Linked DNA regions of Saccharomyces cerevisiae S288C. Changing the gene in region 1 together with any one later gene gives a genetic interaction. Each region holds a gene or a part of one and is shown in the gene's direction. Other genes may lie near its edges.

Region 1 (6,403 bases):
CAGCTGGTTTCATGGATGTCATCACTCTAGATGCCACCAATGAAAACTTCAGATTGGTCTACGATGTCAAGGGTAGATTCGCTGTCCACCGTATCACCGATGAAGAAGCTTCTTACAAGTTGGGTAAGGTCAAGAAGGTTCAATTAGGTAAGAAGGGTGTTCCATACGTTGTTACCCACGATGGTAGAACTATCAGATACCCAGACCCAAACATCAAGGTCAATGACACTGTTAAGATCGACTTGGCCTCTGGTAAGATTACTGATTTCATCAAGTTCGATGCCGGTAAGTTGGTTTACGTTACTGGTGGTCGTAACTTGGGTCGTATCGGTACTATCGTTCACAAGGAAAGACACGATGGTGGTTTCGATTTAGTTCACATCAAGGACTCCTTGGACAACACTTTCGTCACTAGATTGAACAATGTCTTCGTCATCGGTGAACAAGGTAAGCCTTACATTTCTTTGCCAAAGGGTAAGGGTATCAAGTTGTCTATTGCTGAAGAACGTGACAGAAGAAGAGCTCAACAAGGTTTATAAATTTCATAACAACTTAATTATTTTCTTCTTTTGTATATCTCCATTAATGTTTATTAGAAATTGAATTTTAAAATAATACATCGTATCTTCCTTTTTCGACTGGCAGTAATATAACGTATAATATATATATTAGGTGTGTGTATATATATCCGTATTGTAATATTGATAGTAAAAATACGCTAACCCTGAAATAGAAGGCGTATGATAAGACGTACTGACACTACGCACTACCACAATATATGCGTATGTGTGTGTGTGTGTGTGTGTGTGTGTGTGTGTGATTGTATTGGAATATATATACTTACTAAAATTAGCTTATATGGTTCGCATATTGACTATTTATAAGGATATTCAACTTGTCTGTCCTTTCTTAACCAAATTTTCTTCTTTCTCTTGGTGGTAACATGTTCCACAAACTTCTCAGTACAATGATCCACTTTGAATTTCTTTATGAAAACAGGGTCCCATAATTCAGAACCGACGCCGAGATCTTTGCAACACCTCATTAATGCATTACTTTTGCAACCTTCTGTAGCAGTTGGTATGCCGGCTTCGTTGAAATAGTCTTGTTCGCCTCTTGCCACACTGATCAATTGACCATGGCAAATAAGACCGTACTCCCTAGTGACCAGCTTGGATGTCACTATTGTTTGTGATCTTGGCACTAGCCCCCAACCGCCTGCGCCAAAAGCTTTGTTCAGTATTCTACGGTATTTAATTTCAGGCAAGTATATCAAACCATCTGGCTTGATTTCTATATCCTTAGGGTCCAGAGGCTCGATTAGATCCTTTTGCACTTTTGCTTCAAAGGGCTTCATACCTAGGCCATACCATGAAGTATACCAGTCAATGTCTCCCTTGACTTGCTTATAACTATTGTTCAAAGAATCATCGGCGGTGCTGCGGGTTTCCAAAGGGGTCCCGCCGAGTTTAGAGTTAATGCCGCTTGAATATTCCTTCATGTGGCTTCCATTGCCAGCTTCCGATTTTGTTGCAAATACAGGCTTGGTTTCGGTACTGTTGAAACTTTTCCTCACTGCACCGGCTGTTGCGGTGTTACTAGTGCCGGTACTCACCACGGTTCTTTTTTGGCAAAATTGAGCAGCATGCGATACACATCCTCTAACCTTGAAAATGCTTTTCATCGTACGCTGATCTTCCTACTTGTCCTTTCTTTCCTTTTTTAGTCTCTACCGTCTTTTTAAATAGTTTCTTCCATTATTCTGTCGATAAATTTCGTGATGTTATTCGTGTATTTCTTGACAAAAAAAATAAAAAATGAAAAATATGCATAATGAAACGCGCTTTATCAAAACTACTCACTCGAATCCTTACTTCTATATTAACTGTACTAAGAAGTTTGTCGATACATATTTTACCAAGATATTTTCTGACAGTCCACAGAAGTACAGATGTCTGTGCCCAAAAAACGTAACCATGGGAAGTTACCACCTTCCACTAAGGACGTAGACGATCCTTCGTTGAAGTACACGAAGGCCGCGCCTAAATGTGAACAAGTTGCTGAACATTGGCTCTTGCAGCCACTACCGGAACCGGAATCACGTTATAGCTTTTGGGTAACAATTGTTACCTTATTAGCGTTTGCTGCTAGATTTTATAAGATCTGGTATCCAAAAGAAGTTGTTTTTGATGAGGTACATTTCGGGAAATTTGCATCGTATTACTTAGAAAGGTCTTATTTCTTTGACGTTCATCCCCCTTTTGCTAAGATGATGATTGCCTTCATTGGTTGGTTATGTGGCTATGATGGTTCCTTTAAGTTTGATGAGATTGGGTATTCTTATGAAACTCATCCAGCTCCATATATCGCGTACCGTTCTTTCAACGCGATATTGGGCACATTGACTGTACCAATTATGTTCAACACTTTGAAGGAACTGAATTTCAGGGCTATTACATGTGCGTTTGCATCTCTCTTGGTTGCAATCGATACTGCGCATGTTACAGAAACTAGGCTGATTTTACTGGATGCCATCTTGATTATTTCTATTGCTGCTACTATGTATTGTTACGTTCGTTTCTACAAGTGCCAATTGCGTCAACCTTTTACATGGAGTTGGTATATTTGGTTACACGCTACTGGTTTGTCTTTATCCTTCGTGATTTCCACAAAATATGTTGGTGTTATGACATATTCCGCTATTGGTTTTGCTGCTGTGGTCAACTTATGGCAATTACTGGACATCAAGGCGGGTTTGTCCTTGAGGCAGTTCATGAGACATTTTAGTAAAAGGCTGAATGGTTTAGTTTTGATTCCATTTGTGATTTACTTGTTTTGGTTCTGGGTTCATTTCACCGTTTTGAATACTTCAGGTCCTGGCGACGCATTTATGTCTGCTGAATTTCAAGAAACACTTAAGGACTCTCCCTTAAGTGTTGACTCTAAAACCGTCAATTATTTTGATATTATCACTATCAAACATCAAGATACTGACGCATTCTTACATTCTCACTTGGCACGTTACCCACAACGGTATGAAGATGGTCGTATCTCATCCGCTGGTCAACAAGTTACTGGTTACACGCATCCTGACTTCAACAATCAATGGGAAGTGTTACCACCCCATGGCAGTGATGTCGGTAAAGGACAAGCTGTTCTATTGAACCAGCATATAAGATTGAGACATGTAGCCACCGATACCTACTTGTTAGCCCATGATGTCGCCTCCCCATTTTACCCTACCAATGAAGAAATCACTACAGTAACTTTAGAAGAAGGTGATGGGGAATTATATCCTGAAACACTTTTTGCATTCCAACCACTGAAAAAATCAGATGAAGGTCACGTTTTAAAGAGTAAAACGGTTTCTTTCCGTCTTTTCCACGTTGATACCTCCGTAGCTTTGTGGACTCACAACGACGAGTTGTTACCGGATTGGGGGTTCCAACAACAAGAAATTAATGGTAACAAAAAAGTTATTGATCCTTCAAATAACTGGGTTGTTGATGAAATTGTTAACCTGGACGAGGTTCGGAAGGTATATATTCCGAAGGTTGTTAAGCCATTACCATTCTTGAAGAAATGGATTGAAACTCAAAAATCTATGTTCGAACATAACAATAAACTATCATCAGAGCATCCATTTGCCTCTGAACCTTACAGTTGGCCCGGTAGTTTAAGTGGTGTTTCGTTCTGGACCAACGGTGACGAAAAGAAGCAAATATATTTCATTGGTAACATCATTGGGTGGTGGTTCCAAGTCATATCATTGGCTGTTTTTGTTGGCATTATCGTGGCCGATTTAATTACTAGACATCGTGGCTATTATGCCCTAAACAAGATGACCAGAGAAAAGCTGTATGGCCCATTGATGTTTTTCTTCGTCTCCTGGTGCTGTCATTATTTTCCATTCTTTTTAATGGCGCGTCAAAAGTTTTTGCATCATTACTTACCAGCTCATTTAATCGCGTGCTTATTCTCAGGAGCACTATGGGAAGTAATTTTCAGTGATTGCAAATCATTGGATTTGGAGAAAGACGAGGATATTTCAGGTGCATCATATGAACGGAACCCTAAGGTCTACGTTAAACCCTATACCGTCTTCTTGGTGTGTGTCTCCTGTGCTGTTGCGTGGTTTTTTGTATACTTTTCACCACTAGTGTATGGAGATGTCAGCTTGTCACCATCGGAAGTTGTTTCTAGAGAGTGGTTTGACATAGAATTAAATTTCTCCAAGTAACTTTTTCTGTTCACTAACCACAAACGAACTGAACGCCTTCCTCCGTTTAGTGACAAAATAGAGTACTTTTGATCTTAGATAGTATGTACCTAGATGTGTATATATGAAAAAAATTCTTTATATTTGTTTAGATATCAACCGGTAACCTCTTGAATGTTAATTCAAGGTGGGGAATGGTAACCTTCTGTGCATTCTAGTTACTAGTTCAAGATAATTGGGCTCATTTTCTGGAGTGATGTAGCCATGTCTAATCAAGAAATCTACCATTACCAATGCACAATTTGGTTTGAACTCTTTTTTTCTTAAAGCATTAATCGTCTCTTGCAGGCTGAATAAATTGAAACTCTCGACTTCACCATCGTTTGGTTTTGGAATGATGTCTTCGCTGAGTTTTAGATCGTATACATATTGTACTTCCCCTACGATAAAATCTGATTCCTTATTGAACTTCGTTACAGAAATATCACCCGTAAAGTAAAGGTAGGAAACTGAACCAGTTGCTTTAATGTTATCCTCAATAACACTCTTTTCTAGATTGGCTTCCTCCATGCTTTCTTTCAAAACTGTTTCATAGATACCATAAGGATAACCTAATCCCCCGGCGATAATGTTGTCAAGCATTAGCGGCCATGTTTGTTTCGTTTTAGATCTTCTTGGAACCCAAAACTGAACTTTTTTTGACTTTGGATCTAGCACATAACCATTAATATGAATCCCGTAGGTAATTATACCAAGAACACCTGCTACTGCACGCTCAACCAGTACATAGGGTTTTTTATTAACCCAAACGGCATATTTCTCGTTTCTCCAGCCCTTCACACCACTCAAGGATGATTCTAAATACATTTTACGAGCCAATTGGTCAATTAGATTGTTTCTATGATCAAAATCTTCACTTTTAAACCTTAACTCATGTCTAGATTCATCTAATTGGAAGGTTTCTTCGAAGATTTCCGAGCAAACAGTCTCCATTTCATTTATCGCAAATTTCAACACGAAACCGATCTTTGTGCCATCGTGTGTACACATATAGTAAATGCCCTCTTTGAAATTTTTGTAATTCTCGAAGTCTAATGGTAAAGGGTCTACGCGGTCCATAATCTCCAGGAAAGAGAACCCCTCTAGATCATCCTCCTGTGTCCTCACTAAAACTTCCAAGCCTTTAGATGATTTCTCGACCTTCATTGTATTAAAAGCGTTTGTTTCACTTTCGTTCCCAAGAAAGCCCCTATATTTAGTAATATAACAAACGCTATTGTTGTGCAATTCTTCGGCCAACGAAGTTAATTCTACAACTGTATGTTAAAAAAAAAAAGAAGCTATTTATTACTTGATGACAATATTTGTACAAATTTGAAAGAGAATGGTTCTTAAAATTAGATTAGTGATGTATAGCTAATGGTCCATTCACCAATTTTTTTCATGCTTGAGGGTAAAAGTGCATTAGTATGTTGAAGGGCGCTGTAAAAAGCATTAAACGATGTTTCTTGGAAATCTAATTCCTCGACGACTTGTCGATTGAGACATCGATTTATTGTGGTAACGCTGTTTGTGTAAAGCAACTTCATCGCTCTCTTGAAGCTTTTGTTTCCCGTCAATGTGACTCCAATGTCAACGGAAAATATCCAAACTAGCAATGATTCCGTTTTACATTTTACTAGTACGTAACGACAAGAGTTTGCCTTAACTACGTTTATTAAAGAAATTGTAATGTCACATTCTGGAGGAAATTTGTATGTGTTTCCACTGCGTATTAACTGCAGTTTCCATTTGTGTAGTTTATAAAGCGAACCAGCAGTTACTTGGCCTAACACTGCTGAGCACTTTATGCATAAAACATTATCATTTTCCTTTGTAGTCGCTACATTTTCAAAAGTCGCAGGAGTGCCTTGAAAATAAGAGCTTCCAATTAAAATTTCGTTTTTAGATGGTTTTAGCGTTTCAAATCTTGTGTAGGAAGACTTGTCTTCCTTAACATCGGGTTTGTGGCAATGCCAATAATCCATTAACTCGAACCAAAACTCTGAAGGCATATCATTCAAAACTTGACAGTTATCTTTGCTTATAATTTTTTGCTTACAGTTAAGACATTCTATCGAGAAATCAGAATCTGAGCGAAGCTCTTCTTTAGTCCATCTTCCATCTGGAAGCGACATGATAGAA
Region 2 (5,948 bases), on another chromosome or scaffold:
AACGTTATGTTATCATATCTGGAATAGATGTCTCTGTTTATTAGCTTGGGTATACAATGCCTCAACTTTTGTGGAACCTTACTGAATATATTATCCCATGACATTGTACTAATTTTGCTTTCAAACTTGTTGTACTCCAATTTATATTCACTAGTCGAATTTTCGCTGCGAAACAAGTCTTTACCAGTGTACAGAAAATATATCAACAATCCTAAAGAAAAATAATCGTTCTTAAAGGTTAGGGTATTCTCAAAAACAATTTCTGGGGCCGTATAATTCAATTGTAAATGCATAAATGGGGGAACTCTGGGATCATATTGAGGTAAGAAGTATTCAGAGGTATTTGTGCCTGGTGGTATTTTTACTAAATAGCCTAAGCCGGAAATTTTCCAATCAGAATTTTCATTGATAAATATTGCCCTAGGTTGAATGTTCAAGTGTACAAAGCTTGCGCGGTTATGAACAAAATCGAGTGCATTTACCAGTTGCAATATACCTCGCTGTACCACGATATTATCTTTAACATGACCTTGTAAGAAATTCTGCTCTTCATCATCGGTTTCTCTGAAAACGGTCTCCAATGAGCTAGTGACAAACTCGGTGACGAACATGAAATTCTTGCTATGTTCTTCTAATGGTTCAATTAAAGTCAGAATATTTGGGTGCTTGAGCTTGGCCAAGTTATTGGCCTGGTTTCTTAATATTTCGTACGCTTCTTGTATTAATACTTTATCTCTGGATCCAGATTTGGATTTAATAATACCATAGTGTAACAAATAGTTTTCGAACTGCTTCTTGTCAAACATGAATATCGATACTTTGGAAGGTGAAGATGAAGATGAAGATTTGGGACGACCGGTGTAAATGCTCCATGGTTCAGCTGTGAAAGTAGGTGATGATGAAAATGAATATTTTGACGTGATACCCGTCTTTGAGGACCAAAACATCATCCCTGCTCAATCAAAGTGTGTCCTATTTTCCTTAATGATACGATATTCGAAGTTACACTGTTTTGAATACTTTTGTGCGCTTTAATATGTGCAAGATTTATTTGTTTTGATATTAACTTCTTTTTGGCTTCTATTTTTTCAAGACTGCAGTACCCTTTTTTTCACGCAACTTCAGGTTCGAACCGAAGAATAGTTTAATTACGTTTAGTTTTCCTACTGAAACTTTTTTTTTAAAAGACCCTGAGAATTTCATCTCGAGAATAATGAAGACCAATATATAAGTAATGAATCATAAAAGTACAAGAGCAGGATCAAAGTTGAATGTCTCAACAACAGGACAAGAAAATGAGTGAAGAAGGAGCATATGTACGGGTGAGCATTTTTCTTGTATAAACATAAACTAGCTGAACATCAGCTCAATCGGACATAAAAATAAGTTTCCAATTAGACATGCACTTGAACTTGTAATTATTTATCGACCAAAAAGAGTAAGTTAATTTTCACATAATCTTGGAAAAGCCAGAAACAAGATTCGAGAGCTGGAGAATGGATGATGAATCAAGCAATGTTGAACAATCAAAATAATATAGGGTGTATAGGTGTTCACGTATTTCTCTTTATGTTTAGTGGGTGTGCCAAAAAGGACACTGAAAGGGTAAGAATAATAACTTAGCATATTGCTTTCGATATATAGATGTTAATCATACAAAGGCAAAAACAAAGCGTGAATCAGCATTTGTTAACAGACAATTGCAAGAAATGTCGCTGATCAGCATCCTGTCTCCCCTAATTACTTCCGAGGGCTTAGATTCAAGAATCAAACCTTCACCAAAAAAGGATGCCTCTACTACCACTAAGCCATCACTATGGAAAACTACTGAGTTCAAATTCTACTACATTGCATTTCTGGTCGTGGTTCCCTTGATGTTCTATGCTGGGTTACAAGCTAGTTCGCCCGAAAATCCAAACTATGCAAGATACGAACGTCTCCTATCTCAAGGTTGGTTATTTGGCAGAAAAGTAGACAATAGTGATTCTCAATATAGGTTTTTCAGGGACAATTTTGCGCTATTGTCAGTTTTAATGCTAGTCCACACTTCTATAAAACGCATTGTACTTTATTCAACAAATATCACTAAATTGAGGTTTGATCTGATATTTGGTTTGATCTTTTTAGTGGCCGCTCATGGTGTCAATTCGATAAGAATTTTAGCCCATATGCTAATTTTATATGCCATCGCCCATGTACTAAAGAACTTTAGAAGAATAGCCACCATCAGCATTTGGATTTATGGTATTTCTACGCTTTTTATTAACGACAACTTCAGAGCATATCCATTTGGTAATATTTGCTCTTTTTTAAGCCCATTGGACCATTGGTATAGAGGTATCATTCCAAGATGGGATGTCTTTTTCAATTTTACTCTTTTGAGAGTCTTAAGTTACAACTTGGACTTCTTAGAGAGGTGGGAGAATTTACAAAAGAAGAAAAGTCCATCCTATGAATCAAAAGAAGCTAAATCAGCCATTTTGCTCAATGAACGTGCTAGATTAACTGCTGCACACCCCATACAGGACTACAGCTTAATGAATTATATTGCATATGTTACTTACACGCCACTTTTCATTGCCGGCCCCATTATAACATTCAATGATTATGTTTACCAATCGAAACATACCTTGCCATCAATAAATTTCAAATTCATTTTTTACTATGCGGTGAGATTCGTTATTGCTCTCTTATCTATGGAGTTCATTTTACACTTTCTCCACGTTGTGGCAATCTCAAAAACCAAAGCGTGGGAAAATGACACACCTTTCCAGATTTCCATGATTGGCTTATTTAATTTGAATATTATTTGGCTAAAACTACTGATTCCGTGGAGGCTGTTTAGGCTGTGGGCTTTGCTAGACGGAATCGATACACCTGAAAATATGATCAGGTGTGTTGATAACAATTACAGTTCACTAGCATTCTGGAGAGCTTGGCATAGAAGCTACAATAAGTGGGTTGTCCGTTACATATATATTCCTCTAGGTGGTTCAAAAAATAGAGTTTTGACATCACTAGCAGTCTTTTCCTTCGTAGCTATATGGCATGACATCGAACTAAAGTTATTATTATGGGGTTGGCTAATAGTTTTGTTCCTCTTACCAGAAATTTTTGCTACCCAAATTTTCTCTCATTATACCGACGCAGTCTGGTACAGACACGTTTGCGCTGTCGGTGCTGTTTTCAACATATGGGTTATGATGATCGCTAATCTTTTTGGATTCTGCTTGGGCTCTGACGGTACTAAAAAATTACTAAGCGATATGTTCTGTACCGTATCTGGTTTCAAATTTGTAATTTTGGCAAGCGTTAGTTTATTCATCGCAGTACAAATAATGTTTGAAATCAGAGAAGAAGAAAAGAGGCACGGAATTTACCTAAAATGCTGAATGCCAAATTTACGAATATCAATTGTATAACACTGCTATCATGTATGTATTTTTATCTACTAGTACAAAAATGAAACCGAAAATAAATAAAAAAATATCGAGAGGAAGCGTGAAAAGCTAATGAACATATAATATGAAAATCTGCAGTATGATGGATAAAAATCCTCTCGAAAACTCAAATACGTTTTTTATATTCACCAGGCGTTTCAAATTTATTCTGGATCCACAGTCCCTTTTTTCTAGATCTTGCCAAAAATTCATAATATCGATACTTATCTTCTCTATCATCAAATTCTGTGTTTACTTTACCCTCATAAACAACCGCTAATCCATCCTTGAGCATTTCTAAGCTTAAGTCTTTCCACCCACCAAACCAGTCCCAGTATGACACTCGAGCTACACAACGGTTGTACTGATCTATAGATAAAGGCTTGACCCATACTTTCTTTCCCAAAATTCGGTTTTGTAACCAAATTAAAGCTTCATTACCAAACGGTTGAGCTGGGTTACCGAAATGTGCTCTTTCTGGGGCATCGATTCCACATAATCTTATAGGAATAGTTGGCAGGTTTTTCCTATTTTTGTAAGGTACATTTAGCTTCAAGAACTGGCTTTTAGCTTTTTGTATTTTACTTTTGGTGGACCTCCCATGCGTAATCCAATTGAAATTGAAAAACCTCATATTTCTGCTATCTCCAACAAGCTTTTCTGCCGTAGAATCATTCTTGATCATTTGTGGGACGGGTCGTAACCATCCCCATCCACCTCTTATACCACCTGGCATGTGAAAGAAATGAAAGTTGTCCCCGTCACCTACAGACGTGACTTTACCATAAAGCCAGTGTTTACGAAATATTCTTCGCGGTATATCATTTGTTCTTTTGAATTGAGTTAAATACCTTTTATATGTGTAGATCAATGTTAAGGTCGAACCCGTAAGGATGATGGAGAGGACAGCAACATCCGCAGATTTTTTTGAATTAGAATCACCTTCCCTCATATAAGTGCATTTATGCCCCCTTAATAGCTATGAAAAACTGGGCTTCTTTTTATATCATGTGTGACTTATTCTGTAATTTGTTTTTATTCTTCAACACAATTTTTTTTTTTTTGCATACCAAAGGAATCATAAAAGGTCAATGATGAAGAAAGATAAAAGAATTTTGTGACCAACAATTATGTCAGCGGATAGGAGTTTATCATATTATAAAACCGATTACTATTATCTATTAGAAATGTATATACACTTATTTGGCTTGTCGCTGTTCCCACAGACGCAATGTTATTGTTGCCAAAAAGCACGGAAGTTGACCTCTATCTTCCACCCATAGATTCATGAGATCATCCCATCCTTCTATATCTGCATCAAGGTTAGATTTCAAAGTGTTTTCATTTAGATCAGCAATCAAATATTTTTCAGGTTTGAAACAGGAAAATATTTTCACACGACTATCTTGTTGAAATTCCAATTTAAAACCTAATAATGAGTTTACAACGTCAATAAACTCCAAAGATTTATTATTGAAAACTTGCTTTAGTCTGGAAAATCTTTTATTTGACTTAAAAACTTCCTGTTCGAACTGTTTCAACTCGAAATTTAGTGAATCATAAACAGAAATGGGTACTGTTTCCACTGCTGGATTATTCTTTTTCAATTCGTTAAGTAAATCTGCATTTTCCTTTTCTAGAAGAAGTAATTTGTTTTTCTTGATAAATTGATCTTTTATGAAGGGGCCGTCACGTAATTGCAGTATACGTATTTTTTTCTCCTTTAGTTTAGTTAACTTTTCTAATTTTTCTTGTAGTAGCTGAATTGTAGTTTGTGCTTTACTCAACTCCCTCGAGACACTTACATTTTCCAGTTGCAATTCGTTGAGCCTCTGTGAATAATTTAAACCAATTTGGTCACTTGTCAACTTCCTCTTTTTTCTTTGTGTTTCTACATCATTGGAATTTGATAATAACTGATCGTTTAGCTTCTTTAGTTCGTTTGTTAAATCTTCTGTCTTATTTTTATAAGTATCGATCAAATTATTCATATCTTCGTTTACGTTCTTGTTTGACGCATGTGTTTCACTATTTTCGACCTCTAGTAAAGCATTATTTTGTGCGGAATATAGGCCATCTAATTGTTCGCGCAGTAATCGACATTCTTCGAAAGATAAACTCTTCTGTTGTTCTAACTCGTGATTTAATCTTTTCAAATTTACTATGTTGTTTTCATAATTCTTGTTCAAATCTAGTATTTGGTTTCTCTCTAAAGCCATTTCATCATTCAGTAGCTTTAAATTGTTATTGTCCAATCTTAACTTATCATTCATATCTGTCAAAATTAAACATTCCTTTTTGGTAAGTTTCCAGTCCCGGATAATCTCTTCAGGGTTATTTCTTATGTTATTTTTGGTTCTGTTGTTATTATTAATATTGTTGTTATTACTTGTATCATTATTATTATCATTATTATTATCATTTTTATTATTATTATTATTATCATTGTTGTTAACATTGTTATCATCATCATCGTCACTATCATTATAAATTTCCCATTTGGTTAAT

Evidence for each region.
Region 2: mutations in PMT4 (region 1) and GUP1 together harm fitness more than expected from each alone (negative genetic interaction), as found in Saccharomyces cerevisiae (3 studies listed by BioGRID).

What each region holds. Positions count from the first base shown.
Region 1 is NC_001142.9:696,163-702,565, reverse strand, and holds PMT4 (dolichyl-phosphate-mannose-protein mannosyltransferase), read left to right. Parts: upstream 1-1,951; coding exon 1,952-4,240; downstream 4,241-6,403. Other genes in the region: 40S ribosomal protein eS4 RPS4A, read left to right, coding at 1-539; MGM101 (Mgm101p), read right to left, coding at 875-1,684; YJR142W (uncharacterized protein), read right to left, coding at 4,397-5,425; IPA1 (putative polyadenylation protein), read right to left, coding at 5,617-6,403. UniProt on the Saccharomyces cerevisiae protein: Protein O-mannosyltransferase involved in O-glycosylation which is essential for cell wall rigidity. Forms a homodimeric complex to transfer mannose from Dol-P-mannose to Ser or Thr residues on proteins.
Region 2 is NC_001139.9:348,060-354,007, reverse strand, and holds GUP1 (O-acyltransferase), read left to right. Parts: upstream 1-1,709; coding exon 1,710-3,392; downstream 3,393-5,948. Other genes in the region: SCY1 (Scy1p), read right to left, coding at 1-950; LCL3 (Lcl3p), read right to left, coding at 3,568-4,392; coiled-coil domain-containing protein MAD1, read right to left, coding at 4,640-5,948. UniProt on the Saccharomyces cerevisiae protein: Membrane-bound O-acyltransferase involved in the remodeling of glycosylphosphatidylinositol (GPI) anchors. Acts only on GPI-anchored proteins, but not on free GPI lipids.